2 linked regions of the Pelodiscus sinensis genome follow. The protein of the gene in region 1 purifies or fractionates together with the protein of each later gene. This does not show direct contact. Links are inferred from orthologs where the notes say so. Each region holds a gene or a part of one and is shown on either strand. Other genes may lie near its edges.

Region 1 (15,665 bases):
ATAAAAGAGAGGAAGCTGCTGGCAGGCCATTTTGGGGGAGGGAAGTTCTAAGACTCTGGAATTTGCTTCTCTTGGTTTAAAATAGCCCCAGTATGATGACTTGCTGAGCACACTGCAAAGGACAACTGTATGTTTAGGTTTTTGGAGATGCCTCAGTAAGCTTTCTAGATGATAGAGGAGGTGGCTGCTTGATTGAGTACTAGCAGAATTGATTATTAATGCACAGAGATGTAATGTAATTGTATTTATCGTGTAATTAATTATTTTGGGGTGCCTAGAGCTTTGGTTATGCATCCTTATTTATAAATAAATAAATAAACATAAACATGACACCCATGTTATTAAACTGGTGTAACTTCATATGTGTACTCTCATATATTGGTTTAACTTGCCCCAGTCCAATATTTGACTAAATCACTACAACATATCTTCAGTTAAACTTATTTCTGTATTGTATAGGTAAGCCATAACTAAACATTGCTTTCCCTCTTAACTGCTCAACTTTCAGTCTTTCTTCTGATGCCATAATTTCACTAATTCTCCATATGCCAAAGGCTTTCATGGTAAGAAAAAATCTGCATTCCAGATGTTAAAAGCAGACGGGATTTTTTTTTTTTTCAAATAAATTTTCCTGCAGTTTTGTAGACATCACAAAGAAGCAAAAATGTGTAGGACATTTTTGCCCCATTATGTCCCAATGTTATATTATTGAAGCCAATATTCAAAAGTCTTGTTGAATTCAATAGGACTAAGATCAGGCCTGTGCTGCTGCTCTTGCTTCCTGTACAGTATTGCTACAATCTATCCTTTTGTGTCTATCCTTACTTCTAAAACTATCCTTACTTCCAAAACTCCTCTCCAACTTGATCATGTCCCTCTTCCCACAGGAATAGATCCCATGTAGCCTGCCACCCACCGTGGTATGTGCACTGGCCTTATCCACCACTGTGGTTCTTGGTGTAAGGGCCACCTTGAGATCCTTGGATGTCCTATAGGCATTGATCTTTGATCCATGGCCTCATCCACCATGGCAAAAGGACCCACCCCGCAGTCTTCCCCCAACTGAGGACTCAGAGGAAGAGGAGGGGCAAATCCAGGATGAGGACGCTGACCCACAATGTCCAGATGTTTCGCCGGCTAGCAATTCATCCTCTTTGCCGGACAAAGCAGTGATTCCTGCTGATCTATCCCTAGCAGATGATTTAAAACAATTTCAGGAGCTCTTCAAAAGAGTGGCCACTGCTGAAAGCTCATCATCTAATAAACCATCTTGTTAGTCTTTAAAGTGCTACATTGTCCTGCATTTTGCTTCAGCTACCCCAGACTAACACGGCTACATTTCTATCACTATTCTCCAGGAAGTAGACAAAAAGCAGCACAGGCTCCTAAAACTACTTCAGCCCACGCTGCTCAGAAAGATCTCATTACCCATTGACGAGGTAATAATGGAGGCATTGGACGAGGTATGGCAGACCTCTGCTTCCATTCCACCAACCACCAAGAGGGCTGACGGAAAGTATTTCATGCCCACTAAAGACATGGACTTTCTGTTCTCTCACACACAGCCAAATTTCCTCGTTGAGGCAGCAGAGCACCGGGCTAAGCTTCCACAGTTTAAGGCAACATCAAATGACAAGAACCACAAGAAGTTGGACCATTTTGGTCAGAAAATGTACACCTCCACCATGCTCCAGCTGAGGACCGCAAACTACTCAGCCTTACTAGCCCATCATGATTTTGACAATTACTCCAAATTGGCAGAGCTTATGGAACACCTCTCAGATAGCAAATGACCAGTCCTAAGGGCTATAATCCATGAAGGCCACACAATTGCCTGTACAGCACTTCAATCTTCACGGGATGTCAATAACACTGCCACTCATGCCATGGCAACAGCTATTGTGATCCGAAGGGTATCATGGCTGCAGGCCGTGGGGGTTCCCAAAGAGCTGCAGAGCAAAGTGGAAGATCTGCCCTTTGATAAGCACGAATTTGACACAAAAAAGATGAAGTCCTGCACAGCAGCAAGTACTCCTGCATGACTTTGCGCACATTCCTTTCATCACAGACATTACACACCCTATAACAGGCACAGAGATGGGTCATGTAATCGACCACAACACAGGGGCTACAATTACAATTGCTCCAGGTCATGAACTCAGAAGAAACGTCCCTCACAGGGTCACCCTTCTGGTTCCCAAGACATAAAACAGTTTTTGGTTGAGGGTCTGCCCAACCTCCCCAAAGATTCAGTGCCTTCAAAGCACTACCATCTTTTTACCCACTGTTTGCACCCTTTCTGCCATCATTAGGAATCTATAACATGGGATCAGTTGGCACTGGAGATAATCCACACAGGTTATGTCATATCTCTGACTTCCCTCCCCTCAACCCTACCACCTACACCATCCCGCTTAAGGGACCCCTCGCATGAGCAGCTTTTATGACAGGAGGTCGATCGACTGCTTCACATCAGAGCAATGGAATGGGTGCCCGATCCTTATCAAGGCAAAGGATTTTATTCCAAATACTTCCTTACCCAGAAGAGAATGGGGGGATGGAGACCTAGCCTTCATCCAGGTTTTTTTCAAACATTCTCGCAGTGGCTGCAGCCTACCTCTGCAGGCAGAAGGTCATCATTTTTCCATATTTGGACAATTGTCTCATAAAAGGATGATCCCACAAGGAGACCACCAACATGCTTCACAGGCCAGGCAATTATTTGAACATCTAGGCCTTCTCATAAACAAAACAGAAATCCACATTTGAGCCCACTCAGTCCCTAGAGTTTATAGAGGCTCTCCTAGATTCAATATCAGCTCAAGCATACCTACCTCACCATTGTTTCACAACTTGATCAGCATTCTATCTGCAAGCCCTTCCACGACAGTCCTTACCTGTCTCCAGCTTATGGATCATATGGCTGCTACAAATATGTGTTTCAACACAGTCATCTGCATTTCCGTTCACTTCAACATTGGCTTGCTTTGGTTTATATCCTATCCCATCATCCATTGCACAAGACGGTAACCTTACCATGTGATGTTCTCACTTCACTCCGATGGTGGATGTCCCCAGATAAGGTTATCTGCTGGGGTTACCTTGCTGGGATCCCTTTCCACCAACCCAAGCCATCAGTGCAGATCACAACTGATGCTTCCCTACTGGGATAGGATGTTCATCTACAAAATCAACTGGCTTAGGGCAGATGGGCACCACAAGAGGCCAGATTGCACACCAACCTTCTCAAGCTCAGGGCTGTAAGGAATGCCTGTATCCATTTCGCCCCCACTATCTGCAGCCAAACAGTTTGCATCTTCATGGACAACATGACCACAATGTTTTATATAAACAGACAGGGAAGTGCATGCTCCCGCTCCCTGTGCACAGAGGCAATTTACCTATGGAACTGGTGCAAACATCACTAAGTCACACTCAGGGCATCAGACCTACTTGGGATGAGCAGTACTATGACAGATGCCCTCAGCCACTATTTCTCCACAGATCATGAGTGGGAACTGCATCCTTGGGTCCTTACTTCAATTTTCTGACAATGGGGATTCCCATTGATAAATCTATTTGCATCACATCTCAACTTCAAGTGCCCCTAGTACTACTCCTGGAAGGGGCTGGGCAATGAATCCATGGGGGATGCCTTCCTGGTGATGTGGAATGCACCACTTTGCTATGCTTTCCCCTCCGATCCCTCTTATCCCAAGGGTTCTGCACAAGATCCGTTCAGATGGCACTTGAGTCATCTTGATAGCTCCCTCTTGATCCAGGCAGACTTGGTTTCCATACCTCCACTGCTTGTCTCCCCTACCTCCATATCCTCTTCCAGATTGCCACGATCTACTCTCGCAGGAACACGGGACAATTCTGCATCTCCAGCTTCACATTCTTTCCCTAAACACCTGGCTGCTGTCTGGTTCCACAATTCCAAAGTTTGCTGCTCTGAACAGGTGAAGGATGTTCTCCATAGCAGCAGGCTCTCCACTCACACAACCTACCTCTACAAATGGAGGCACTTCTCCTGGTGCGTGCAGACTGATCAACCCTCGCACATCTCTGCGTCATAGCCTCCTTGATTATATTTTTGAACTAAAGACTGGAGGTTTGTCCATTTCATCTCGAAGGGTTCATCTGGCAGCAATTACAGCTTTCCATGAGACACTTGAAGGTTTCTTGGTCTTCACGTGCCTTATCACCAAAAGGTTCCTTAAGGGACTCCAAAACAGGGCCCCATCACATGTATGAGACTTGAACTTAGTGTTAGACTCCGTGACACGGCCTCCTTCTGAGCCTATGGTGACTTGCTCCCTTCCTTTCCTTTTCACAAAGGTAACATTTTTAGTCATCATCACCTCTGCCTGGAGGTTCAGTGAGATCGGGAATCTGATGGTGGACCCACCTTATACAGTTTTTGCCAAAGACAGAGTTACTTTACAGTCACATTCTACTTTTCTCCCAAAAGTCTTTACTTTGTTCCATATCAATGAACCAATTATTTTACCTGCTTTCTATTCAAAACCACATGTATGTCGTCAGAACATCATCCTACATACATTGGATATCTGATGGGTTCTCAACTTTTACATAGGCAGAATGTGAGCTTTCCACAAGTCTTATCATCTGTTTGTTTCCATCATAGAATACTTGAGGGGTATGCCCATCTCTGTCCAATGCATCTCCTACTGGATATCATCATGTATGATGTGATGTTACACTTTATGGAATAAGACTTTGCCAGTGCCACCAAGAGCACATTCCACCAGTGCTGTTGCTTCAACCATGGCATTTCTTCATAATGTTGCCCTCAAAGACATTTACCAGACAGCCACCTGGTCATCCGAGCATACTTTTGCTAAACATGATGCCATCCTACTATCTGATTCTGCATTGGCCACAGCGGTTCTATCCTCAGCCATTAAGTGGTGACTCCAAAGCCCACCATCCAGATTGGTCACTGCTTCGAAGTCACCAACAGTAGAACACCCATGGGGACATCACTCAAAGAAGAAAAGGAAGTTACTCTCCCTGTGCAGTAAAGACTGTTTGAGATGTGTGTCCCTGTGGGTGCTCCACGACCCACCCTCCTCCCATCTACTTCAGAGTACCTAGTTCCACATCTACACCAGAATAGCTGAGGGAGGTGCTAAAATGCGAATGCCACAAAATGCCACAAACGTGAGGTGCTAAGATGTGAATGCCACAAAATGCCAATCACGAATGTGCAGCCCAACTGACAACTGCTATGAAAAACTCCAAATTGCAGCTCCAGGATGACCCATCACCAACAGTGGAGCACCGACGGGAACACACGTTTCGAACAACACTCGTTACTGCACAGGGTGAGTAACTTCCTTTTATGCATTCACTTTACTGATATACTTCTCCCTGCCTTGCACAGCTTCTAAGTACCCACAAATACTGTTTAGGACTACAATAATCCTCATTTAACACTATAGATGCACTTCTGAAAATGTTCGTGCTGAGCGAAAACATGCTATGCGGGGTCAATTTTCCCATTAAAAATAATGGAAAAGGTGGGGGGTTGCATTTCAGGTGGTGGCGGCAAAGTCAGTCTTTTGTTGGTGCTGGCTCATCAACGTCCACATTAGATATCTAGCAACACAAGTCGCCATGATTTGTTAAAATACAAAGATAAACACGTGAGTGAGCGGAGGAGTGCTGTGACCACATGTATTCATCCGCTCATGCGTATTACCACTGTTTTCACCAACTTATACCTCCATGCGAAGTAGTCTGCCACTTGATTATTTTTGCGTTATTTCAGGGACAGACATGTTATTCGAAAAACATCCCCCCCAAAAAATCGTGCTATTGTGAAAACGTGTTAAGTGGACACACGTGTTAAATGAGTAATTACTGAATCTTGCCACCACAAATCTAAATTAATTCTTAGTGATTTCAGTTTCACTTATCTGTAACTGCTATTCATTTTCCTTAGTTAAGTCTACACAATGTAAAGCATTTCAGTTACTTATGCATTTCAGCCCAGAATAATTAGCTGCAATAGAGCAGAGGGTAATCTTTACTTCCCTCCGGGTGTTTCCCTCCTCCACACTCCATTATAAGTGTTTTTTCCCCTCTTTGGATAATCTTAGTTTGTCCTGTTTTTTAATTTCAGGGGGAAAGTTGTGACGTGCAGCACTCTATTAAATGTGTTGCAAATGGCAATCCACTGCTCAAATCATAATTGTCTGTAAAAAGCAAAACCAAAATTCTGACCAGATAGAGCCAAGTTTGGAAAATAATAGCATCTGTTATACTGCAATATTAATAAGCAATAGCTAAAATGAGACTCAGTGGGAAAAAATCAAGTCATAAGGCTTGTTTGGGGGTGTTTTTGTTTTCATATGCAACCATGAAATTGTTTTAATTGGATGTAGAGTACATGTTAGAATATTTCACTCTGTGGTACAGTCAATTTTGCATTACCTCAGGAAAGGGTGTCTTTCTCCATAGGCTATTTAGGAATGCAAGCATTGTAGAAGGTTTCTTTTGACTTGTTAGGGTCAGAAATATGGTACCCATTTAACTATGCTTCACAAATTCTTTCCAGCATTTTTTCCAAAACTGCACTATAAAATGAAAAATATCTATCCTTAGAAAATGCAAGTTATATAAGAACTTAAAATAGCTTTTTGCTTAAAGTTGCACGTATATTGTCAAGTTTTCTAGAAGGCACATAATTAAAGAACAATTAGATAGCACCTTTCTAAAAGTTCTTACAGTAAATAGCACTAACCAATTTTTGTTTGTAGGGTTCAATAAGGTATGTGTATTTCAATGAGATTGTAAATGATGGACTTTTTCATGTTTTACTAGTTCTTATGACCACTAATGTGAATTTACCAGGAAAATGCATGTGATCATTTGGACTGGTTTGCACAAACAATGACAATCAAAGAATAAATTCTAAAATTTGAGAAACAAGTAAAAAAGAAAATTCTACAAAATATCACAAATTCTACAAAAAAGGGGATGTTTCAGATTAGAGAAATTTGAAAATCTGGGACTGAACTTTTGTGAAGTTTAAGTAATCTACTGCAAGTTTTCCTTACTTTTAATTTCAGGCTATGGTTTTTCAAACTTTATACTTCTGTTTGTACAGTTCTAGTGATCATTCTAAATCAACATGTTTTGAAACACTGAGATACATTGTATCTATAAACTATCCCAGTATTTTTTATGTAATAAAAAGTTCTCATACCATCTCATTTAAAGATACTTTGTGCACTTTTACTGAATTAAACCTCAATCTTGCAAAGGGATCTTGCATATGCTTAGCTTAAGTTTATGGACCATGAGTAGCCCCAGTTAGGACCCTTGTTTGTGAGATGACACTTGTTTTAATATGGAAACTATGGTTTTGACATATAACCTAAACATTTTTAAGATAAAATTGGTTTACTTTTTTGTGTGTAAAAGCTGCTAAGTAATAAACAATATAATCACTGTAGTTTCACAAAACCCTTTCGTGTCTGTATGTTAGATCAAAACCTGCCAAATCTCAATTATTTTTAGAAAGTGGTGGTAAAAAAGAGCAACGTTTAAAGTGTCTCTTTTAGAATTAAAGATATTGTGATACATTTTATTAATAAGACATTTACAATGTCCTTAATTTAATTTTAAATCTTCCTTCTTCCAGTTGTCCCAGTTTGAGCCAGCCTTATGACTTAACCTTAAATCTTACACTGTGTCAACCCTGAGCTTTTTCCATGAGGTACAGTTTGAAGTAGAGAGGTTTATTATCCAAATCTAAAGTGTGACCTACTTCTAGAAGTCCAAATTTTGTTAGGGTAAATGAATAGTTTGGAAGATGTTGGTGCTATTTTCCAAAGACAAATAAAATACTGTTGCTATACAATAAAAGAAATATTAAAAGCACCCAACTGTCCCAAAAGATTTTTAACTGCTCCTCTTTCTCTATTTTGTATCCTTTAAAGCCAGAGTGTAGTTACTATTGCTTTGTGCACAGTGTGATCACTATTGCGCTGTCCATGGTGTGAGGTGTGAATGCTTTTTCTTTGTGTGGTCACTCTTGCACTGTCCATGGTGTAATTACTTCTTTTGTGTATGGTTACCACAGCTCATGTGTGATAACTACTGCAATGTGTATGCTCCACATTAATGCCCTATGCATGCTGTACAGCCTGATCTCTGTTGCTGCTACAGAACACTGAGGTGCCAGACATGCAAACAGCAGATCCATCTCTCTATAGCCAAAGGCCCTTTCTGGCCTCCCCTGCTTTTGTCTTTGTGGTGCCAAAGCCTGTGCCAGGTGCTCCCACGCCTTGACATAGGCAGAGCTCCCTGGTGCAAGGTGTGCGCACCATCACTCGGGCACGAGGTAGTGTGCTCACTATGATGAGGTCACGTGATGCAGTCATTTATGTATCACGTGGGCATGTGCTCACTATGCTCGTGCCCCCGCTCCAGACACAGCGGCTAGGCCCCTCTCCTCCCCGCCAGGCAAGATGTAGTCCCGGCTAGGGGTGGCGGAAGGATAAGCAGGCGGCGCCAAACACCGCTGAGGCCCCAGCCGCAGGGCGCGGCGCCTCCTAGCGGGCCTGGGGTAGATCCCGCCGCCGGGTGCCCCTCTCGCGAGAGCCCCCCCCATCGGCAGAGTTATGTAACCTACTTCCCCTCCCCCCCCTCCCTTAAAGGACTCACACCCGAGGTGAAATGGGGTCTAGGCGAACAGGACCCCATCGGGGCTCAGGCCCCCTCCCCCCCGGGGCGCGGCCCCCTCCCCTCCCGCTGGACAATGAGTCCCGTATGCTAATGAGAGTCTCGCGTCACTTCCGCTCTTTCTCGGCCGCCATCTTGGCCAGGGCAGGTTCTGGGCAGGAGGGACCCGGCTGTATTGTCTGCAGGGCGCCCAGGGAGCCCCCCCCCGGCCCGGAGCCTGACACCCCCCCCCTCCGGGGACCGAGCGCAGTGGAGCCGCCACCGCCCCCTCCCCCCGGGACCTGCTCACCATAGGCCACCTCCACACACACTCACCCCCCCGCCATCCAGCCCCCTTTGTCTCCCCCGCGCCGCCGCCGGCTCCGCTCCGCCCGCCCGCCCAGGGACCCGGGCGGCGCCAGGGAGGCAGCTCCGCGCACCCCCACCCCCAGCCAGAGGTGCCGGGGGAGCGCCCGCCCTCCTCTGCTGAGGAGAGCCCCAGGCAGGTAGGTGCGTCCGCGGGTCAGAGCCGTGAGGAGGCAGCCCTCACCCCCGATCCGTGCTGCGGTACAGCTGCCCCCCCCCCCCGTGAACCCCGGGGCATAGCCCCATGCAGCCCGATCCCAGCCGCTGGGCACGAGCCCCTGCCGTCCCCGCACAGTGCAGTGTCCAAGGCGATGCCCGCTGCAGGCGGGCGCTGCGGAGTTGGCGGGTAGCTCCCGCCTCTCTCCGCAGCTGCACACATGTTGAAAGACTTGTATGCACTGAAGAGGCCAGTTCTTCCTCTCTGCTCCGGCCCGCTCACTCGCGTGAACCGGCTGCAGGGACCGCTACCGGCTTCCCCTCTGTCTGCCCAGGGCCCGCACGGCAGATGCAGCCCCAGCCTCCTCCCTCGGTCCCTCCCCACCCCCCGGCGGCGGAGGCTGCACATGGATGTGCCTCGAGGGTGGCTTTCATTGCACGGTCTGCACTGGCGGCGGCGGATGGTGGGGTGAAGTAGCCGAGCTGGATCAGTGAATGTATGGATCCATCGCCTCTAGCATCTCAGAGCTGTCTTTAGCATGCCGCCTGCCTGGTGAAGGTCCCTAATGGCAGAGTTGGCGCTGGAGAGAGGCCGGAAAGCAGTGCTGGCTTCGGTGCAATGAATGGAGACTAGAGCAGCCTCCCCCACTAGCCGGGGTATCTGTCTGCTGGAAAAGGCGCGATTCATGACTGGTCCCCTGAGCAGAACAGTAACTGCAGGCTGGAGTACCATTCACCTACCAACTCACGCTCCCCTTCCTCTTTCTATCCCGGGCCATAGTTACTGTAACCCATTTCTCAGACAAAGGCAGAGGAATCCCTAAAATGTTGCTCTCTGCCGCTCGAGGTTGCACCCTTCTCACCCACCCCATCATACTGCTTTTCGTTTGTGTTTGCAGGCTAAGTGATTTTTTAAAGCACCAAAATGAATGTGACTCCTTTTTTGTATGTGTGTTGGGGTTGCCTTAAATCTGTATTGCATCTGGTTTATGGCCATGGAAGAAAAATACCAGCCCCCACCCAAAATGCACCGCAGCCAATTCGGAGGAAAGGAGAGATGAGTGTTCGAGTCAGTAGGGGGCGCATTCTCTACACTGGGTAAGGTTGCTGCAGAGAGGGGGAAGGGCCCCCAGATGCATGGAGAGGAGCTGCCACACAGCGCCTTCTACAGACCTGGGAAAATGGGCCTATCACAAGTGCTAGTTGCTCTTATGAGCTGACAGCAGCATAGTAAAGGATTTAGTGAACAGAGCAGTGATTTAGAGAAGAATCTGATCACTTCAGTATGTTTTTTTTTAAACAACGGTGACTAAATTGTGTTCTTGGAATCAAATTCTCAGTACCATTCACAATACTACTACTTTGTATTTTCATTCAGTTCATAGGGGTTGAGTAACTCTGTCACTATAATAATCTCAGATCATTTTTTAAGTCGACAGACTACTTGTGTTCAGAGATCACACTGATTAAATGGAAAAATAAGAGAATTAGAGCACGTGGATGACTTCTGTCTCTTGAAAGGCTATACATGGACTTCCATGGAGAATGTAGTAATTATATGAAAACTTGATTATGGGTTTTGGTGCCATCTGCTTTATAAACTTGCATGGCTTTTTCACGCATTGGGAATGCATGGCAGTGATGATGTAGAAACTTCAATGATATGGTGCATTACTAAAGCATTGCCTGCTTTTGCTGTAGACTGAGTAAGCTATGCTTTGCTTGGACAACTGGGATTCCCCCATAATTTTGTTTCATGATCTTGGTTTTAATCAAAATATTCAACAGGCTTAAGACTCTGGAGTCTTTTAGAAAAATATGATAGAATTTTCTTAGTTTATGCTGTGATCTTTCCATTAACTTTATTCATATTTGAACTTTGAGGAGAGGATTATGTTTAGATGAAGAAGTCTTGTGCAGCACAATATGGCCTACTGAAATACTTTCAGATTGAAATGCCTGACTCCCTGTTAGCAACAGTGCTATTTAGGCAACCTAGGTCACAGCTGGACTATCAGGAAAAACTGAACTTCCACTTGAAGAGGATTGTAACTGTAACAGCTATGAAGATTTGCTAAAGCTTAGTATCAGTTACTATCTGTCCCAATAAAGAAAATGGAGCATCCCCTTAAAGTCAGTTGTTTTTAAAATAAAACAAAAACATATTAATACCTCACACTGTTTGTAATATATATTTACAGACGTTGGGTAGAAATTTAGTATCAATCAAATCCAACCAATATCTTCCTTACAACATTTAGTGAAGTTGGAATATTGTACAAAAATGAAAAGAAATATACTCAGTTACTACTAAAAATTGCCACTTGAGGATGATTCATTGTAGCATGGTTGTTAAATTTTTGCTGAAGATGCTTCCAGTATACATGAAGATAAGCCTTAGAATGGAGAAGATGTCTTTTTGACACACAGGTGATAACATGTTCCTACATAGAAATACTTAGATATTTAAGCAAAAGTATTAGGCTTGTTTATACTAGGGGTGTCAATGGTTAATTGGTTAACAGATAGCCTGGCTAGCTCCCGGAAGGTGGTCTTCCAGCCTGGCAGGAGCAGACCCTGTATGCTGCAGGCAGGGGGTGCTCCAGTTTGACTGGAGCAGCCCCAACCCGCAACTCCACTGCAGGTGGGCAGGCTGCTCGGTTTAAGCAGTTAATGGGTTAAACATGACGTTTAACTGGTTAACTGATTAAAACATCCCTAGTTTATACTTGTGAATTTATTACGCTTGATACGGGTTTTAACTGCTTTTTTCTAAATGTGATTTTGATCTGTCCACAGTAACTTTTATTTATTATATGCTTGGCTTTTCAGCATTTAAAAGTGATCGACATAGTTTACCCATTCAAAGTTTAGAGTCAGCTTTAAGAAGCTAATGCACTCTTGCTTTCACGTCTGAAACAGTTGTGTGTTTAATATCGAGCATTTCAAATACTGACTCACATTTATAACTCCCAAGGCCTGCTGACATGAGAATGAACTATAGAAAACTACTTCACTTTTTCCCCAATAATGCCTACACTTATCTTTAATACCTTAATGTGTATTGGCCAATACTACTACAGTTTTTTTTTTTTTTTTAAAGTAAGAGCATTTGTTTTATATGTTGGGAAGTAAATAGCATTTTGAATGTGTGAGAAAATAGGAAAGGTAGCTTGTACTTGCTCTTAAGAAAAAGGACATGTAGGTTAAGAACAGAATGTGATAGTACTCAATATGTTTGGGGCCAAGGGACCTGCTTTAAAAGAATTTCTAGATTGTTTTTGAAAAGCGTGCTTTGCAGCATTAAACTTCAGCAAGCCATGATCATGCAGCTACTGAATGTGATAGCTAAGGAGAGACAAATAACTGAGCTTTTTGCTCTATGCAGGATTGAAGGTATCAATTGTTAAGATTCCAGCTCTCGAATATTATTTTGCATTAACATACAATGGTGCCTTAAAACATTTTAATTGTGCTAGACTCTCCAGTTTAACAATTGACTCCTAAATTTGAAGGGGAAATTCTAACTAGATTTCTAAGTACATATTCAATCCTCTCTGTGCAAGGTAAGTTGTGCTTTCTGCATATACCAGCATGAATAAGGGGTGGCTATTCCCCAGCTTTAGTACATAAGAGCAATTGCAACCTTTGAAAAAGGCTATTAAAAATGTTACAAAGAAGCACTTCTTGCATGCATAACCATATCTTAACAACATATGGTTTGTCAGAATTAAGACAATGTGTACACAGCCTAAACCATACACTTTATATGACTATTGTTTTTAATGTGGAAGGTGGCATCTGGCTTGATTGGTGTAAAGGAAGAAATTTGAATAAATATAAAATCAATTAGCTTTAGAAGCCAGATTGTCATTTTATATGTATTAATACAAATAGAAAATTATCTTCATTTTAATATATGTGCATACGGTTTGAGAGAGAGAAAACAAGTCAAGATTGGATTGTGATCATCCTCATCGGGATCTGAAATCTTTAGGACTTCATTTTTCATTTTGGGACTTTAACTCAAGTGAACAGCTATTTGATTTAAATTGTTCACCTGTTACGGGTGCGTCTCCACCACACCTGTAGTTCAAATTGCATAGCTTATTTCTAATCAATTTCAAAATAACCTGTTATTCTGAAACATCCCTTATTCCTTGTGGAACGAGGTTTACGGGGTCGTCGGAATAGCAAACCCGTTATTTTTCAAAATGAGTACGCTGTTAAGACGTGGGATAGCTATTTTGAGATACCTTCAGTATCATGAAATAGCTCCGCAGTATAGACATAACCTATATGCTCTACCCAGAGTTTTCGTTTGATATTCACTAGTGCCTTAGAATACTTGTGCCCTGTTAGCTCAGTTGAGCTAGCATTTCAGTTGTGTTAAGTCCTCTTAAAGCTCGTTAAGATGTTGCTGGCCTTTTAGTTTTCAAACATGTTAGCCTGCATGTTGAATATTAGGAGGGCTTTTCAGTTATATTAAACTAAAAGCATAATCTATGCTTAGATTTTGTATTACAGGTTGCTCCTCCAAAAACCGGCACTCTCTGGTCCGGCTACTGGACCACGTATGCTCCTGGACCAAAGAGCCCAGGAGCCTGATGTCAAGAGGGCCACCTGTGATGGGCAGGACAGGGCTGGAGCCACAGCCCTGTGGCAGCCCCCCAACAGCATGGGGCTGGAGTCCTTCGGCAGCCCGCAACAGTGTAGGCCTGGGGCTGGAATCCCACAGCAGCTACCAGCAGCGTGGGGTCGGGGCCACAGTCCTGTGGCAATGCAGTTGGCTGGAGAGCCAGCAGCAACTGGGCAAGCAGCCTGCTAGGGCCAGCAACATAGTGGGGGGAGGCAGTGTGCCTGCTACGGCAGTAGCTAGCCAGTAGCAGGCAAAGGCTTGGGTCCAGTGGCAATGGACCTCGTCTGGTCTTGCAAATTCTCTCCATCAGGATTGGTCAGGTCTCGAGGGTGCTGGGCCAGAGCGGTATGTAGTATAATTGTGATTTTTTTCAACTGAGGTAGCTATACCAATACAACTTTTAGTGTGAATGCAGTTATAGAGATATATATGTATTTATATTGGTAGAGCTTTCTCCTGTTCAGGAAAGGTTGAAAGCTATAGGAATATAAGCACGTTTATACAGATATGTCGCCATATCTATTTAACAGGCCACACTGCAGGCCATGTCTGTGCTATAGTGGCATAGCACAGTACAATAGGTATAGTGCTGTGACCCAGCTGCTGCAGGCTACAGCAGGGTAGGTAACCATTTTTATGTCGGGAGCTGCTGATCTACAGAAAAATCACTAAGGGGCCACTCACAAGTGAGAAGCAAAGAAGGCACAAACCCTCACTAACCTGGCTCCTGACTTAGGAGAAAGATACTCCCCACATTCCTTTTGCACAGCAGTGCCTGGGGCACCTAGCCTAGTATATTTTGTGTGCTTCAGCCACATGGTGGGGTGCTAGGGGGATTGGAGTGCCAGTGCGGGTTCCCCAATGGTCGAGGGGCCCCAGGGCTGGATCCAGGCAACCCGGGGGCTGCATCCAGCCCTGCGGCATTGAGTTCCCCACCTCTGGGCTACAGTAACAGAAGGGATTTTTCTGCTATCGGAATGCCACTTCTCAGAGTGATGTTAGCTGACTTATGCGTGTTTACAGAGAGTTAGATTGACATAACTGCATTGATCAGGGGATAATGGATGGCTATAACTAGGGATGTACAATTTTTAAAAAATTATTAAACCGTGTAACTGATAGAAATTCAGTTACATGGTTAACAGTGGCTCCCGGCAGCCCTATGAAGAGTGTAACTGGTGCCATTGATGCTTATTGGTTACTAGGGATGTTAAATTGAATGTAATCCGTTAACCATGTAGCCAACAAATATTTTGTCTGCTACATGGTTACCCAATAAACGGCTCTGCATTGAAAGTAGCTTGGGAACTAGGGTCAAGCAGGCCAGTTCAGTCTTGACTTGCACTGGTGGTCCCAGCAGTTACCCTGGCTGTGGCTTTGCAAGAAAAGTTATTTAGGAGCTGGTGGTCAGGCAAGCTCCTAAATTACTTTTCTTGCATAGCTGCTGTGACCTGGTGTAAGCTGGGACTGAGGCAGCCTGCTGGCCAGCCCACTAAAAAATGTATTTGCAGAACCTTGGGGGGGTAGAGGGTGCGTGGAGGAGGAGAGCATCTGATTATCGGTTAATTGTTTAACTGGATGCACTATTACATCCCTATTGTTTACCTGATTACACTTTTAGATCTTTAGCTATAACTGTTACATTGTTTTATGCATGCACAAGGCCTAAGGCATGGTCAACACTTACAGATCAGCACAGCTACATTGGTCACGGTGTGAGAGAATCATGCCCCTGATAAATATAGTTATACTTATAAAATCCCCAGTGTGGACATAGGTGTGTCAATGGAAGAGTTGACATAACTAA
Region 2 (15,259 bases), on another chromosome or scaffold:
CTGGAGGCATGACAAGTAAGTGGTCCTTTTGGTGAAAGGAAGAGTAAATTAGGGCTGCAGGCCAAATGAAGAGGTCAGAATAAAGACGTGAGTAGGTCCCAGTGGGATGTGTTGTCAATACAGAAGTTGGAGTCACTATATATGAATGTGGGAGTCTGAGAGGAAAAGAAGAGAGAGCTAGGAGTTGAAATCAGAGGAGAAGACTGATGTGAAGGAGTTAAATTGATGGCAGCTGGCAGCAACATGAGGGGGAGAGAAGAGGAGACAGATAGTTTTGGTCAAAAGAAGGAAGAAGTTGGAAAGGGATAAAAGTTGCTGAAAATGGCATCAGGATCAGAAGAAGAGAATCCTACCACCCTTACCATGGTCTGAGAGTATGTGAAAGAAGGATGGGCCTCCATATCAGGGCATCTACAGAGGCAGAGGCAGACAAAGGGAATGAGGTCTGAGAGAGCCAGGAGCTAGAACGAGTGACAGAGGAAGAGATCCTGAATGACTCTTCTTTTTAGAAATCACAGCAAGAGGAGGAAGGGGGCAGGTGTGAGGTTGGGGATGGTAATGCAAGACGGGTGGAGATGAGGAGTGGAGGGAAGGTCAGAGTTGGGGCAAATGTCACCAAAGATGATGAGGATTTGTATGAGAGACCTAGATTTGTGCAGGCAGGAGGAGGGGAGCAGGTTGGGGTTGGAGAAGAAAAGAGCAGGGATAGATGTGTAGGCAGTATTGTAGAGGGGTCAACATTAGGGATGTTAACTATTGTTTATTTGTGTAAACGTGTAACTGCTGGAAATTCTAGTGGCTACACATTTACACACAGGGATGGCAGGCAGGAGTCAGTGCTCTGGGGGAGCTGGCTTTTAAGCTGGCTCCCTGCGAGCACCGGCTCCTGCCTTCTCTCCCTCCCCACCTCCGCTGTCTCTTATGAAGAGGCAGCATTGCAGGGGTCAGGTGGCTCCATGAGAGCCAATCCGCCTGGGGAGCTGGCTTGAAACCTCCTTCCCATGTGTACTAGCTCCTGCCAGCCCCACTAACCCTCCACACTGCTGTGTATCTATCAGCACAGGTGGCAGGGTGGGAGAGAGAGGCAGTTCTGCAGGAACTGGTGTTCGTGGGTAACTGGCTTTTAAGCTGACTCCCCAGCAGCTTTTAATTTGGCTCCCTGCACATGCCGGCTCTCTGAAGAGCTGCCTGCTTCCCCCCCACCTCCCATAGAGGCAGCAGCGTGGGGGGGACAGTTGGAAGGGGACAGGTGGGCTCTTCACACATCAACCCCTCCCCCCCCGCACTGCTGCATCTCTGGAAGGCAGAAGGGGGGGCAGGTGGCTCTTCAGGATCCGGCTTGAAAGCTGGCTCCCCATGGGCACCAGCTCCCACTCCACCCCCGCCCCATTGTTGCTTCTGTATCAGAGTCACCAAAGGGGGAGTTGCATGCAGTTGATATAATTACATTATAATCATGTAATTGACTACATGCTGACATCCCTGGTTAAGATAACTAGGAAAGGAAGATGGAGCCAGTGGGAGGGGTAGGGAAGAGGCAAGAGGATGAGGATGGGTGATAGCATGGAGAGGAGGGGTGTGATGAGTACCATGGTTTAGTGGCAGATGAATGAGACTGCAAAAATCCCAAAACCAAACACACAAGATCTGAAGGTATGTTCTTGGGACTGGCATGGGTCTCTGTGAAGGATCCTTTGCTGTACAGACAGAGCTCCGCAGTCATGCTCCTTATTGGTTATTGTGGGTCAGGGCCAGTTTATGTAGTGGCTCACTGCCTATTGAGTGCCTGTGTCTACATAGAGTTCCACAAACTGTCTACCTTCCCTGCTTTCATGCCTCATAGCCACAGAATTCTGTATCCTTAAAGGAAATGAGAAATAGTTGGGTCATATCTTCCCCACTTCTTTACCCATGCTGCCTCTGGTGAAGAGGCAGCATTGCAGGGAGCAGGTGGCTCCATGGGAGTGAATACTCATGGGGAGCCTTGAAGGAGTTGAGGAGCGACTGTGAGGACATCTGTAAAACTGGTGGGACTCCAGGAGACACGGCTAGTCAAAAAAAAAAAATTGGCTCTTGTGCACATAATTTGTGTGCACCAGAGGTGGAATCAAATATGGATAAGACATCTTAAAGAGCCATTGCTGTTAAAGGTAAGTAACCATTGTTTTCTAGATCTGTCTCTCGGATTTGGCTTACCTAATGCAGTGTATAATTATGACACATAAATTACTTAGTTTGGTATATTTGTCAAATTGCAAGATATATTTACTGGAAAGCAGAGGATGGACTTGGTGAAGAGTTTTTGTTCTGAAGCTTCAGAGTGGTAGTCAAGTTAATCTGTAACATGAAAAACTGAAAACTAGAAATAGTCTTTAAGGTGATACTAGACTAACAAAACATGTAGATGGTACCATGAGCATTTGTGGGCTAACCTCACAACTTCAGATAACCAGAGTATAATAAGCCCATATCCAAGAATAAATAAGGGGAGGGGGAGGGGGAGAAGGAAAAAGGGGAGGCGAGGAAGAAAAAGGGAAACATTGAGTAGATAGTTCAAATAGTTACAAGAGGCTGTTAAGAATCATTAGCACCTCCATTGTTTGTTTGGTTGGTTAAGTCATTAAAAAGTGGAAGTGTTGGAGCCATTCTATATCCCAGTTCAGACCATTTGCATAAGAATTAAACTTGTGAATGAAGTTAAGTTCCAATCCTTCTCTGTGTATTTGGCTTGTGGAATTTGTCTGAAACAAAACGGTGACTTGGAAATCCATGAATGAAAGTCCAGGAAGATTAAAGTGTTCTCCAACAGGTTTTTCTGTATTGCCTTGTCAGATATCTGGTTTGTGCCCATTAATTCTTTCCTGTTGAGATTGTCCAGTTTGGCCAGTACACATTGCAGTGGAGCATTGCTGGCATTTGATGGCATAGATCACATTAGTGGATGTGCAGTTAAATGAGCCTTTGATTGGAGAGAAGGCTTGGAACTCAACCTCATTCACAAGTTTAATTCTTATGCAAATGCTCTGAACCGGGATATAGGATGGCTCATACACTATCTTCCACCTTTTAATGACTTAACCAACCAACTAACCAACCAATGGAGGTGCTAATGGTTCTTAACAGCCTCTTATAACTATTTGAACTATCTACTCACTGTCTTTCCTTTTTCCTCCTCACCTCCCCTTTTTCCTTCCTTACTCCCCTCTCCCCCTCCCCCTTATTTATTTTTGGATCTGGGCTGCTTATACTCCAGTCATCTGAGGAAGTGGGTTTTGCCCACGAAAGCTCATGATACCATCAACATGTTTTGTTAGTCTTTAATGTGCTACTAGACTATTTCTTGTTTTTTCAGTTTTTGTTCTGCGCATTCATGTATCCTAAAGTCGTGATCGTTGTAATTTGATGTAGAATTCTGAATTTCCAACTTTTCTTTTACTTGAACAGTAAAAAAAACTTTAAGTGTGTTTTTGTTTCCTCTGGAAGATTCCAACTAGATTGTGTGTGTGTGTGTGTGTGTGTGAGAGTGAGAGAGAATTTAAATAGTTTTACAAATAAACTGATTTATGCAGTTAATTTCACATTAGACTAAATATAGTCCAGATGCCTATTGGGCAATGAAAAGAAAAATTAGGTGTTATGTGTTTTGTATCCTATTCCACTTTTACAGCCTGGTATTCTTCTTTTACTGTAATTTGCACATTGGACGTGTGGTAGCTCTCTCTCTTATTCTGGAAAAAAAAATTTGGTTCCTTTCCTGTCATTCAGTATGTTGGCTAATATTCGAAAAGAGAATCCTCTCTCTCCACATCCCAAACAGCCAGATTCTTAGCTCCCAGTCTTTATTTCCTTGGCATGGCCTAGAATTGGCTTTTATTGTTTATAATTTAAAAATACATGTGATCATTGGAGAGCATAGCTATTGAATTAGGAGCATAAGACGCAGGCCCCAGGACAGGTGCAAAGAACTTCCCTAAATGTCAATCACTGACCAGTATAGTAGAGTTGGGTAGAGAAGGGAGGGCTTGCCCTTAAAGTTTGAAAGATGCATCAGGAAACTAGAAAGGATAGCCTCTGGTAGTGTGTGAGGAGCCATAGAAGAAAATAAAAGTGCTGATCATTGCCATTTTCCTTTGAAGATTAGAAAGTCTTGCTAATCTAGAGAAGATGGATTTTGGGGAGATAGGGTGGATGGTTTCCTCAGTTATACTTCATTGTGCTTTAAGTTTATAAATTGTACCTACAATATTAAGTTACCTATAAAATATTTAATGGACCACATTACTAGAGCTGTATTTTTTCATTTTGAAAAATCTGTTTTCAAAGAGCAAAATGGCATAACTCCAGTATCAACCAAAGAAAGTATCAAGTTACTAGATATGTGTCAATATGAACTGAAGAAAGAATTTTCGTTTGGAGCTTAATGGAACGTCCCTTTGAAAAATCCCAAAAACATGACAAACGTCAGCTAAAGTGAGTTAAAAATTTCTTAAGTTGACTGTAGGGAAGCTGGACTTTAAGTTCATACTGAGGCAACATGCTATGGATGTGGAAATTCTCTGTCTTTATGCTCCTGATTTTCTGTGAATTTCAGAATTTGTACTCTTGTACTAATGCACAAGCTGATGTCAAAGTTTGACAAATCTAAGATGTTTTGGTCAGTAATCAAAATGAACTGATTTCTTCCATTTCCTGACCAACAGGGTTGTGACCTTTAGGCACTATAATATATAAAATAACTTAAATTCTATTTGATTAATTTTTCAGTAAACAAAAAACTCTTAGGAATTTTGAGTATTAATGATTTGCACTGTGAAAACTCAATTTCATACTGCCAATAAAAATCTGTAACCACTGTGAGAATAAGCCTTATGTGTGACTGCCTGTTGATTGCAGCAGCATGATCAAGCAACTTGAAGAGAAATCATGTAATAATAACTACTGAAAAGAACCATAAAACTTTGATGTACAAGTTACAGGAGAGGATGATATATAAACACAATACTTTTAAAACAGTTTCAGTAATGGCTGAGTGCTAGCTTTATATGTAAGCAAGCCCTGCCTGGATTGTTCTAGGAAAATCTTGTTCTTTCTTAGGGTACGTCTAGACTACATGCCTCTGTCGGCAGAGGCATGTAGATTAGGCTACCAGACATAGGAATAGGAAGCGGCGATTTAAATAATCGCTGCTTCATTTAAATTTACATGGCTGCCGCGCTGAGCTGACAAACAGCTGATCAGCTGTTTGTTGGCTCAGCGCGATAGTCTGGACGCGCGGGTGTTGACATCAAAGGTATTTGTCGACCACCCAGGTATGCCTCCTGGGATGAGGTATACCTGAGTGGTCGACAAATACCTTTGATATCGACACCCACCTGTCCAGACTATCGCGCGGCAGCCATGTAAATTTAAATGAAGCGGCGATTATTTAAATCGCCGCTTCATTTTCCTATGTCTGGTAGCCTAATCTACATGCCTCTGGCGACAGAAGCATGTAGTCTAGACGTACCCTTAGAGTTGCTAGAGGATTCTAAGCCTTTTTACTATTTAAACTTTGACAATATCCAGGTTGGGCTACACAGATTAGGGATGTGAAGGACTAGTCAACTGTCCAATAAGCAAATGCTTCCCCCCTGCCTTGCTGCTCCTATCAGATGGAGGCAGTGAGAGGGGTGCTTCAAAGTGGCAGTGCTGCACAGAGCCCAGGGTCAGCGCTATGTGGAGCAGGGGATCAGCTGGTGATTCCCCAGCTGACCCCAGACTTTGGCGCTTTTGCCTTTGAAGTATAGTAACAGCCATAGGGGCTGTTGATAAACTTCAGGGGCGGAGGTACCCTATAGATTAATCGAATAGTTGATGCAAAAATGCATTGGCTATTGGATTAGTCAATTACCTGATACTTAACATCCTTAGCACAGATCAGAGGAAGACAGCGTCCGTCCCATTAGCTTAACATGTAAATTCTTACAGAAATCAAAATTCACCAAACTGTTACTGCTGTTCTAAATAGGGTTGTAAAATTCTGGTTAAACGTTAAGCTAACCTAACATTGAACTAATTAAGCAGGATCTGGGTGGGGGACCACTTCAACCTAGCTGGGAGCAGCCCCCTGCCCACAGGGCTGCTGGATGCCAGCCCCTGCCAGAGCAGCCTGTCCACAGTGGCGTGGGTCCACCACAGACAAAGGCTTCTCCGGATGCTGGACTGGTCCGCAGCAGGCCCCCCAGTGAAGCTAAAGCTGCCTGCTGCCCATGGCAATTGGGGAGCTGTGCCAGCCCCTACCAGCTAACAGTTAATTGGAACCGGTTCTTACCAATTTAAACTTTCACATTCCTAGTTCTAAAATTAAATTTACTCTAACCTTTGCAGGATATAACTATTCTATCATATTATTAATTTTCAGTATAAATATAAGAGTTTAAAAAAATGTTTGTTCATGGCTTTGAATACTGGTTAAAAGCTACAGTAAACAATACTGTATTTAAAATTAGTATTAGAAAAAAAGCTTTAGTTGAGACTGAAAGGAAAGTTTAGTTCTGAAACACTTAACAAATCCACTGTGTCTGTGGTAATTGAATAGTTTTAATAGTTTTTCATGCTGGTTTTGGGGGAAAAAAAGTTTTCAGTCCTCTGTTTTGTTGTTGTTGTTGGTTTTTTTGGTCTATTCCAACAAATTGTTGGTTAAAGAATTTGACCACCACTTGGTGGCAGTACTTGGCTTCAAAAGGAAAATGGCTTTAATTCTCTTTAAAATTAGAGAGTATACAGGGAATTGTATGTATTTTATTTTAAAATAGGGAAAGACTGATCTGCAAGAGGCTTTTATTTAACGTACAGAAAAGCTTTTCATTTTTATGTCCCAAAGACCATTTTATGGAGAAGTTAGAATATTTAAAATGTATACTTAAAAAGATGTGATTTTTTTTTTAAGTGTTGGCTTTGAGCAATATTTTAACTATAAAGCTTAATAACTGGTATTCTTTTCATTGTATAATAACCTATTGATTACCTTAATGTTTTACTTGTATTGGGAATGGCATACTTAATGAATTCTAACACACTGTAATTTTGTTAATTTTGCTAAATGATGACATTGTACATTTAGAGAAATGTGCGTGCCTCTGTTTATATAGCTAGTCACTAAGGGAATCTTTAGTCTTGTGATCACTTGTTCATCTATAATATTTCTTTTTATTCAGTCACTTCAATTGAAAGAGCACAATTTATTTTGTATTTTGGAGACTATGGCTCCAGACAGCAGGACAAGGACTACTTTCCTAAGGATATCCCCTCACACTGGTGTAATTGCAGTACTTTTTGGCTTTAAGGGAAAACTGCTTTCAGAATTGCTTGTTCCATGAAGACTGTGTTTGTAGGGTTGAGGTCTGCAGGGATAGAGGACACACCCTTTGCAGCATCCTTACAAAGGTGCCTCCTGTGGGGAGAATTCTCATCCCTTGTAACAGGAGCTGAAATGGCTACCTCTTTGTCTCCTCAACCCCCCAAAAATCCAAACAATACATTGGGTAGACTCCTTTGAAGCATGATAAATCAGAAGGCAGTCCAGGCAAGCTGTCTTGCCCTAGAGGAAGGTAAAAGCCACAGAACAATAGTGAAATTTACAGATCTTAAATCCATGAAATTGAGTAATAATGGAAAACATGAATATTAGAAATATTAATAGAAAATGTCAAATTGCAACATAGAAAAATGCAAGTTAATACACTGGAGGAGGAGTAATCCCAAAAAGAGCAATTTAATGAGATACATCTGGAAAATACTAATACTAAAAGAGGTCTAAAGAAGGTGGTGAGCAGCATAATAGGTGTGATGTTCATAGTGACATATGCATAATGGAGAAGATAAAATAGTTATCTCCATACACCTATAATATTTTGTTCACGGGGGGGGGGGGAGTGATTAATATGCTCAGGAGGCTTAACTGCAGCTGCATCTGGTGATAGCATCAGTGGAAATTTTTTAGTAAAATTCCTTCATTTGTATATTGCCAATGTTAGGAGTGGTGTGTGTGAACCTAGAATTTTCTAGGAATTGATAAAATGCAGAGTTTTAATTAAAAAAAGTTGAAAAGGGTGAGAATTTTACAGGAAGGAAAGAATTGACAGCAACAAAAGAATGTAATTTTTGTTTGAAATGCAAATACTTAATAAAATTGAATTGTAATGATAAAAAGTCACTTGTAGCCACAATACTGATCTGTCTGCCAGTTACTCTAGACATAAGTAAAATAAAAATATTGGAAGTGTGAATGCAAGGAGCTAGGTTATAATGAGGAAAGACAGACTACATGGTATATTAAGAAAGAGGATGCTTCAGAATCTCAAAGGCTATGTCTAGACTGCAAGCCTCTTTCGAAAGAGGCTCTTTCGAAAGATACTTTCGAAAGAGCCTCTTTCGAAAGAGAGCGTCTAGACTGCACGTGGAACTTTCGAAAAAGCGGCTTGCTTTTTCGAAAGAAAGCACCCAGTGAGTCTGGATGCTCTCTTTCGAAGAAGCCCTATTTACATTCAAGAACGCCTTCTTTCGAAAGAGGAACTTTCGAAAGAAGGCGTTCTTCCTCGTGAAATGAGGTTTACCGCCATCGAAAGAAAAGCCGCGTTCTTTCGATTTAATTTCGAAAGAACGTGGCTGCAGTCTAGACGCAGGGGAAGTTTTTTCGAAAAAAGGCTACTTTTTTCGAAAAAACCCCTGAGTCTGGACACAGCCAAAGTGAAGGAAAGGAATTTACATAGGCAGAGGAGAACAGAAGAGAGGTTTGGAGGATAAATCAAGTGTACGAATAAAGAAGAGCTATGAAGGACTGAAGTCAGAATTGTCCAAAATGAATCATGGGCTGTGAAGCCTTCTAGTGGGAGATTAAGGAGCTTGGTGTATTTAGGATATTGAAAAAATATTTGATACAACTTGATCATGCTTAGTACATACACGGAAAGAAGATGTCTGATACTAGAGGATTTGGCAGACAAACATAACAAGATCCAGTGGCAGGAAGTTGAAATTGGACAAATGCCTACAGGAAAGAAGGTACAAAAAGGGTTGATTAACCAACAGATTGTTAAGGTTCTTGATAAATTCTCTATCCCGTGGAATATTTAAATAAAGACTAAACGTCTTTCTAGGAGATATGTTCTAGTTCAATCACAAGTTATTGTGCTCAATACAGGAAAAATTGGTTGAAATTCAATGTCTGTGTTTAGATGGGAGGAGGGATCGTACTGAATTGTGATTGCCTCTTTTGGCCTGAAAAATCTGTAAGTCTATTAAATATATAGTGAAGAGAATAAGACTTTATTTTGGAAGTGTCAGAGTTGATGGAGATGAGAACTAAACTTAAACACAAACCAGCCCCAAACCATTTAAGAATGATCAATCTTTCGTGGGGGGGGGGTCGGTTGAGGTAGAAAGTAAACCTTGAATAGACTAAACATTTTTGATACATAGAAAATAAATCATCTTTATTCTTTGTGTGACATTGACATAGAACATTTGAAACTGCTTCATAATTAAATAAAAGCAATATTTTTAAAAATCCACATTTTTATGTAAAAGAGGCTGAATTTTGAAAAAGCACTTTACACCCCCTATTTGAACCAAAATGTCAAGAGAAGGATTAGGCACCTAAATAAAGTGGCCAGATTTTTCAGAAGTGTTGAATTCCTATTTTCTTCAGTGGGCACTGTTGGTTGCTGAAAATTCTTACAAATCTTCATTATAAATACTGAAAAAAATTTCTTTTCTGCCAATAAGATGTTATTTTTGTTAAAATTAGTGCTACTTAGTATTTGAATGGACAAGAAAGCAGGGGGAGACTTTCACAATTCTTTAACATTGTCTCCGGTTCAATGCTTTAGACCTTACCTAAGGCTGAACAAAATAATGTAGTTGGTGTCCTTAAACCAAGCTTCACACCATCTTCGCAGTGGGATGTCAGCAGGAGCAAATGATCCCTTCGGCTTCTCTTACTCCTTGCAAATGTGAGGAGTAATGGCGTTGACCGGGGCCACCCTCAGCGTTCAGTTTAGCGAGTCTTTACTAGACCCTCTAACTCAGAATGCCAGAAGACTGATATCCTGCGCGACAAGTAGGGACGTGGCCTCAGTCTCAACAGTACTTTAAATGTATTTTGTACACATCTTTACATCTTTATATATTTTAGAACTATGGTGTCCAACTAGTTCTGATGCAGTAGCCACTGTAGTTATGTATAACTATATAGCTATATACAGGGTTCACCAAGCCGCGGGGAGCCCTGCTCGCCAGCCGCTCGGTTCGGGGCGCTGCACATGTGCAGACCACACTGCGCATGCGCTAACCGCGCTGCGTTGCTGGTGCCGGCTTGTAATCTACTCGCCACAGGCAAGTAGATTACATTGATTGTTGAGCCCTGGCGCATGCTCGGGCACGCTCTCTCTGTGTGTGTGTGTGTGTGTGTGTGTGTGTGTGTGTGGTGGCTACTGCTTCAAAACGGCTTGGACACCATGGTTGTTGTAAATATTCTGCTATAGCGAATTAGCCACTTGAGGCTAGTGGCTAGCATGTTGGACACCATGAATTTAGAATATTGCTCTCAAAACCTTCAGCCTCTGTATTAATCATTTGGTTAGCATTTAATTTGTTTGATACACATAACACTCTCCACAAAATTTGTGAGTTTCCATGTAATTTCAGTGGGGATCATTGGGAAACTAGATGTTTTAGCAGCTGGATAGAGAAGATTTGGGTGGTTTGGGTTGCTGGGATAAACATATTGGCTGGATGTTTATATTGAAATGATTACCAGTAATGGTTAAAAATGCTGACCTTTGATTCTGAAATCAAATGAGGAAGTTGAACCAATGCAGGCTTTTAAGAACAGATTAGTGCAGGGTTTCCCAATCTATTACATTTCAAAAGGGTCACCAAGTGTCTCCCCAGGTGGCTCTGCCCTCCCCCACTCTCCCCATTTTTGGATTGCCTTAGGTTACCAAGTCTTTCTGAATTGTCAAAATGGGTCCCCTTCTGGAAAAGGTTGGGAACCGCTGGATTAGAGAAACATTTCAGGGATGGTCTAGGTTTACTTGGCTCTGCTTCAACACAAGAGGCTGGACTTGATGGCTCCTTAAGGTCCCTTTCAGCCCTACACTTCTGTGATTATAATGTACTCCATAAAGCTAAATGGAGACTGTTCTCATCTATCTTAGACTCTTCAGACTGCCTGCTATCATGAAAGCTAGGAACAAAACTTCATTTAGATGAAAACTTAGATTTGGAAGAATAGTTTGTCAAGAAGTGAGTTGTGCAGCATATTCAGTAGCAATGAAATACATAGGAAATGTTTTTAAAAGCTGTTTTTCAATTTAGTGTTGCTCCATAAAGGAGTCCTTTTTTAACTTTAGAAAAAAATATCTTGGGCAGCGCAGCTGTCAACCCAAATAAAATATTTTTAGATTAAGGAATTAGAATGAGAGGACTGAAGCAGGAGATACATTAATCAGTCCCCTAATACTTCGATATCCATAGTGTTTGGTTCTGCACTGTAACATGCTCTCATTTTTTTAGTGTAATACCTGGAAGACTCAGACGTATGAGCTGATAGGATTGGATTACAGTGGGTAGGATTCCAGTTTCTATCAAAGAAGATAGTAAATCAATGATATCATAGAAGATGCAAAGTATAAAGGATTAGGATAGGTTCTTGGTGACTGAGATTTCCACTGAGGCTATCTATCCTGCTTGGCCCGACATCTGACAGGAACACATGAACCAGAACAAGAGATCAGACTGGTCTATGCTGGTGAGCCTACAGAGTTCGCTTGGGTAGCTGTTATGACAACAAGAGAGAGCTCTCCCATTTACATTATAAAACCACCTCAACAAGTAGAAGTAGTTATGTCCTTGGGAGAAACTCTTCTGCCAATATAGCATAGTTCACACTGCCACTTATGCTGGTGAAACGTTTGTTGTTTAGGAGAATGTGGTTTTTCCCCCACACTTCTGAGTGGCATAAGTTTTGCCAACATAAATGGTAGCATAGACATGACTGAAGAAAAGACATCTTGGGGAGGGAATGTTTACATAGAGCAGGTGGAAGTATGGCTGATTTATATTGCAGAGCTGTCTTTTCTGGAAAATAGAACTTTATTTTAAAAGTGAAAAAACAAACTAAAATATCATAGAACATTAGAACTGGAAGGGACCTCAAGAGGTCATTGAGTCCAGTCCCCTACCCTCATGGCAGGACCAAGCACTGTCTTGATCAGGACTACTCAACACGTGTCCCGTGGGCCACATGCAGCCCAAGCCCATTTGTTTGAGGCCCATGGTGTGGTTTGGGTTTACTGTGAGGTTTGGGTTGATATGTGCTTTAGTAGTTGAATTCCTGGCTCATTAAAAGTGCTGTCATATGGGTGGAAATTGGATAAATATTGGATGTTATTAATGTTAGTAGAGCTGACTTAAATGGGGCCTGTGTGTTATGTAGTCTTGCCTTAATCTTTGTATTCATGACTGTCAGTGTGAAAGGAGCTATATGCATATATTTGTGTATATATGCACCCACACTTAAGTTGCGGGCCTCAGCATGTGCTCTGAGTATTATTGTGGCCCCAGGGCTTCCGAAGTTGAGTAGCCATGATCTGTATCATCCCTAACAGGTGTCTGTCTAACCTGCTCTTAAATATCTCCAGTGATAGAGATTCCACAACCCCCCTAGGCAATTTATTCCAGTGTTTAACCACCCTGACAGGCAGGAAGTGTTTCCTGCTGTCCAGCCTAAACCTCACTTGTTGCAATTTAACCCCATTGCTGCTTGTCCTGTCCTCATACGCCAAGGAGAACAATTTTTCTCCCCCTCCTTATAACACCCTTTTAGATACTTGAAAACCGCTATCATGTCCCCTCTCAGTCTTCTCTTTTCTAAACTAAACAAGCCCAGTTCTTTCGTTCTTCGTTCATAGGTCATGTTCTCTAGACCTTTAATCATTCTTGTTGCTCTTCTCTGGACCTTCTCCAATTTCTTCACGTCTTTCTTGAAATGTGGTGCCCGGAACTCGACACAGTACTCCAATTGAGGCCTAATATGTGCAGAGGAGAGTGAAGGAATCACTTCTCATGTCTTACAGTAACAAGAGTGTTGTGAGCATCCCAGAATCATGTTTGCTTTTTTTCCCAACAGTGTCACATTGTTGACTCGTGTTTAACTTGTCGTCCATTAAGACCTGTAAATCCCTTTCATCAGTACTCCTTCCTAGACAATCCCTTCCCATTCTGTATGCATGAAACTGATTGTTCCTTCCTTATGCACCCACCTTATAGTAGCCCCATCTAGGTTGTATTTCCTTAGTTTATTGATAAGATCATACGAGACCGTATCAAATGCATATGTATATCTCCTTTATCACTTCTCCCTCAAATGTACACTACCTCTGTACACCTTAGATTCATGATGTCCAACTGGTTCTGAAACAGTAGCCACTATAGTGAAGAACTAGCCACACTAAACTGGCCAAATAGCTTCACGTGGCTAGTGGCTAGCATGTTGGAACCATGGCCTTAGATGGTCTGCATTATACCTGTACTGGACAAATTGTTTTCTTGAGAGAACTTGAGGGTTTTTGCTAGTGTGTGGTGTTTTATCAGTTTCTGACAAATACCACACAAAAATACAGCTCACATTGGTAATTAAAAAAAATAGGAGGAATGGAAGATTCCTGGCTCTGTGTTCTGTAATACATTAATGTGGCTTTTAAATTATTGAAATTTATACTAAACGGATGTCTCTGCAATAGTAAATGGAACTCTGAAACTGAGTATGTAATAAGCAAAAACTTAACAGCTTTAATGAGTGTTGAATCACAGCTAGAGGAAACTGCTGGTTATTTTCCACTGCAAAAATATATTCATTTTAAAGATAGTCATGTGACAAAGGTGAGTACTAAACAAGTTTCAGTGCAGAGAAGCAAATTTCCTGTTTCTGAAGTTTCACTATTTGAAACTGAATCCATAGTATTGATTACCTTGAGGCTCTCTTACCTTTACAAATAATTTGATTTTTTTTAATGGGGCATACACAAGACATCTTTAAGTTACAAATAATTTGTTGTTTTTACAGTAAAACGATAAAGGTTCTGACTTTGTTGAGATGGGAGCAATTGTACTTATTGTGAAAAGTTGCTTTAGCTGGACTTAGCTAGATTTTGTCTTTTCAAACCTTTAGAAATAGTTGTTTGTGTTACAGCTAATTTGGTTATCAGTTTATGGTCCCAACAGGATGGGGATATGCTCTTCAGTGTTACCAATCCTATGTATTCAAATATCAAGATTTTCAGGCCACTGCCCCCGCCCTCAGCACAATGCCATTGGCTGGTTTCTGGTCAGAAAGTGGCCAATGGGAGCTGCCTGTTTAAAGAACCATGACCTCCTCCCCTCCAGCTCAGTTATTCACACATGCACATGGCATTTCAGCGTGTGCAGGCCCGGGGCAGGCAGGCTGGCTGAGAAACGTTTTAAGCTCTGCAAGCATTTAGCTCTGCAGGCAAGCAGGCTGGTTGAGCTGTTGACTGGTAAGTCTCCTGGCAAGAGCCTGCCTCTGGCACCCTGGCCCCTCCCTTCCCCAGACTACTGCCCACCCCTTAAACATACCCAAACCCTCTGCCCCCCTCCTGTACCCATGTCCCCTTGCAGATATGGCACCCCAATCCTTTGCCCCAGATTACAATCCCCTCTTACCCTAGGTCACAACCCAGACTCTTGCACCCCAGTTCCCTCTCCTAGATCACAAACCAAATCCCTGCACCCCAGTCCCCTGCCCTAGGTCACAACTGCCTCCTTCACCCAAACTCCCTCCCAGACCCTACTCTCCCTCTTGCACCACAGTCCCTTATCTCAAACTCCCTTCTGCACCCAACCTCCATCCAGACCTCACACCTCCTCCACTAATATCATGGAAGAATGTGGCCTCACCCACTTCCTAAAATCTTGGAGTGCCCCCCTTCCCCCGGTCAAATTATTGCCCACCCCTGCTCTGTGGCTTCGGAAACTTGCACTGTTGCCATCCAAGCTGTAGTCAAATAGGAATTCAGATTCCAGTGTTGTCATTTAGGAATCTTTAATAGGTACTAAAATCACTATAAAAAACTTATCGTTCATAATGAAATCATCCTGTTTTTAATAGCCCAATGGATTCCTGATCTGTGACTACTGTTCCTATATGCTAACATAATACAAATAATGCATGGAGAAAAACTTGAATTTTAAAATTAAA

What was found.
Region 2: the proteins of ADNP (region 1) and ZNF644 purify together in Homo sapiens (affinity purification with mass spectrometry; 3 studies listed by BioGRID and IntAct, with this or other methods). This does not show direct contact. The link is inferred for Pelodiscus sinensis from reciprocal best matches to the Homo sapiens genes ADNP and ZNF644.

What each region holds. Positions count from the first base shown.
Region 1 is NC_134728.1:18,562,327-18,577,991, forward strand, and holds the start of ADNP (activity-dependent neuroprotector homeobox protein), read left to right. Parts: upstream 1-8,834; 5' UTR 8,835-9,203; intron 9,204-15,665.
Region 2 is NC_134719.1:33,385,834-33,401,092, reverse strand, and holds the start of ZNF644 (zinc finger protein 644), read left to right. Parts: upstream 1-8,552; 5' UTR 8,553-15,259.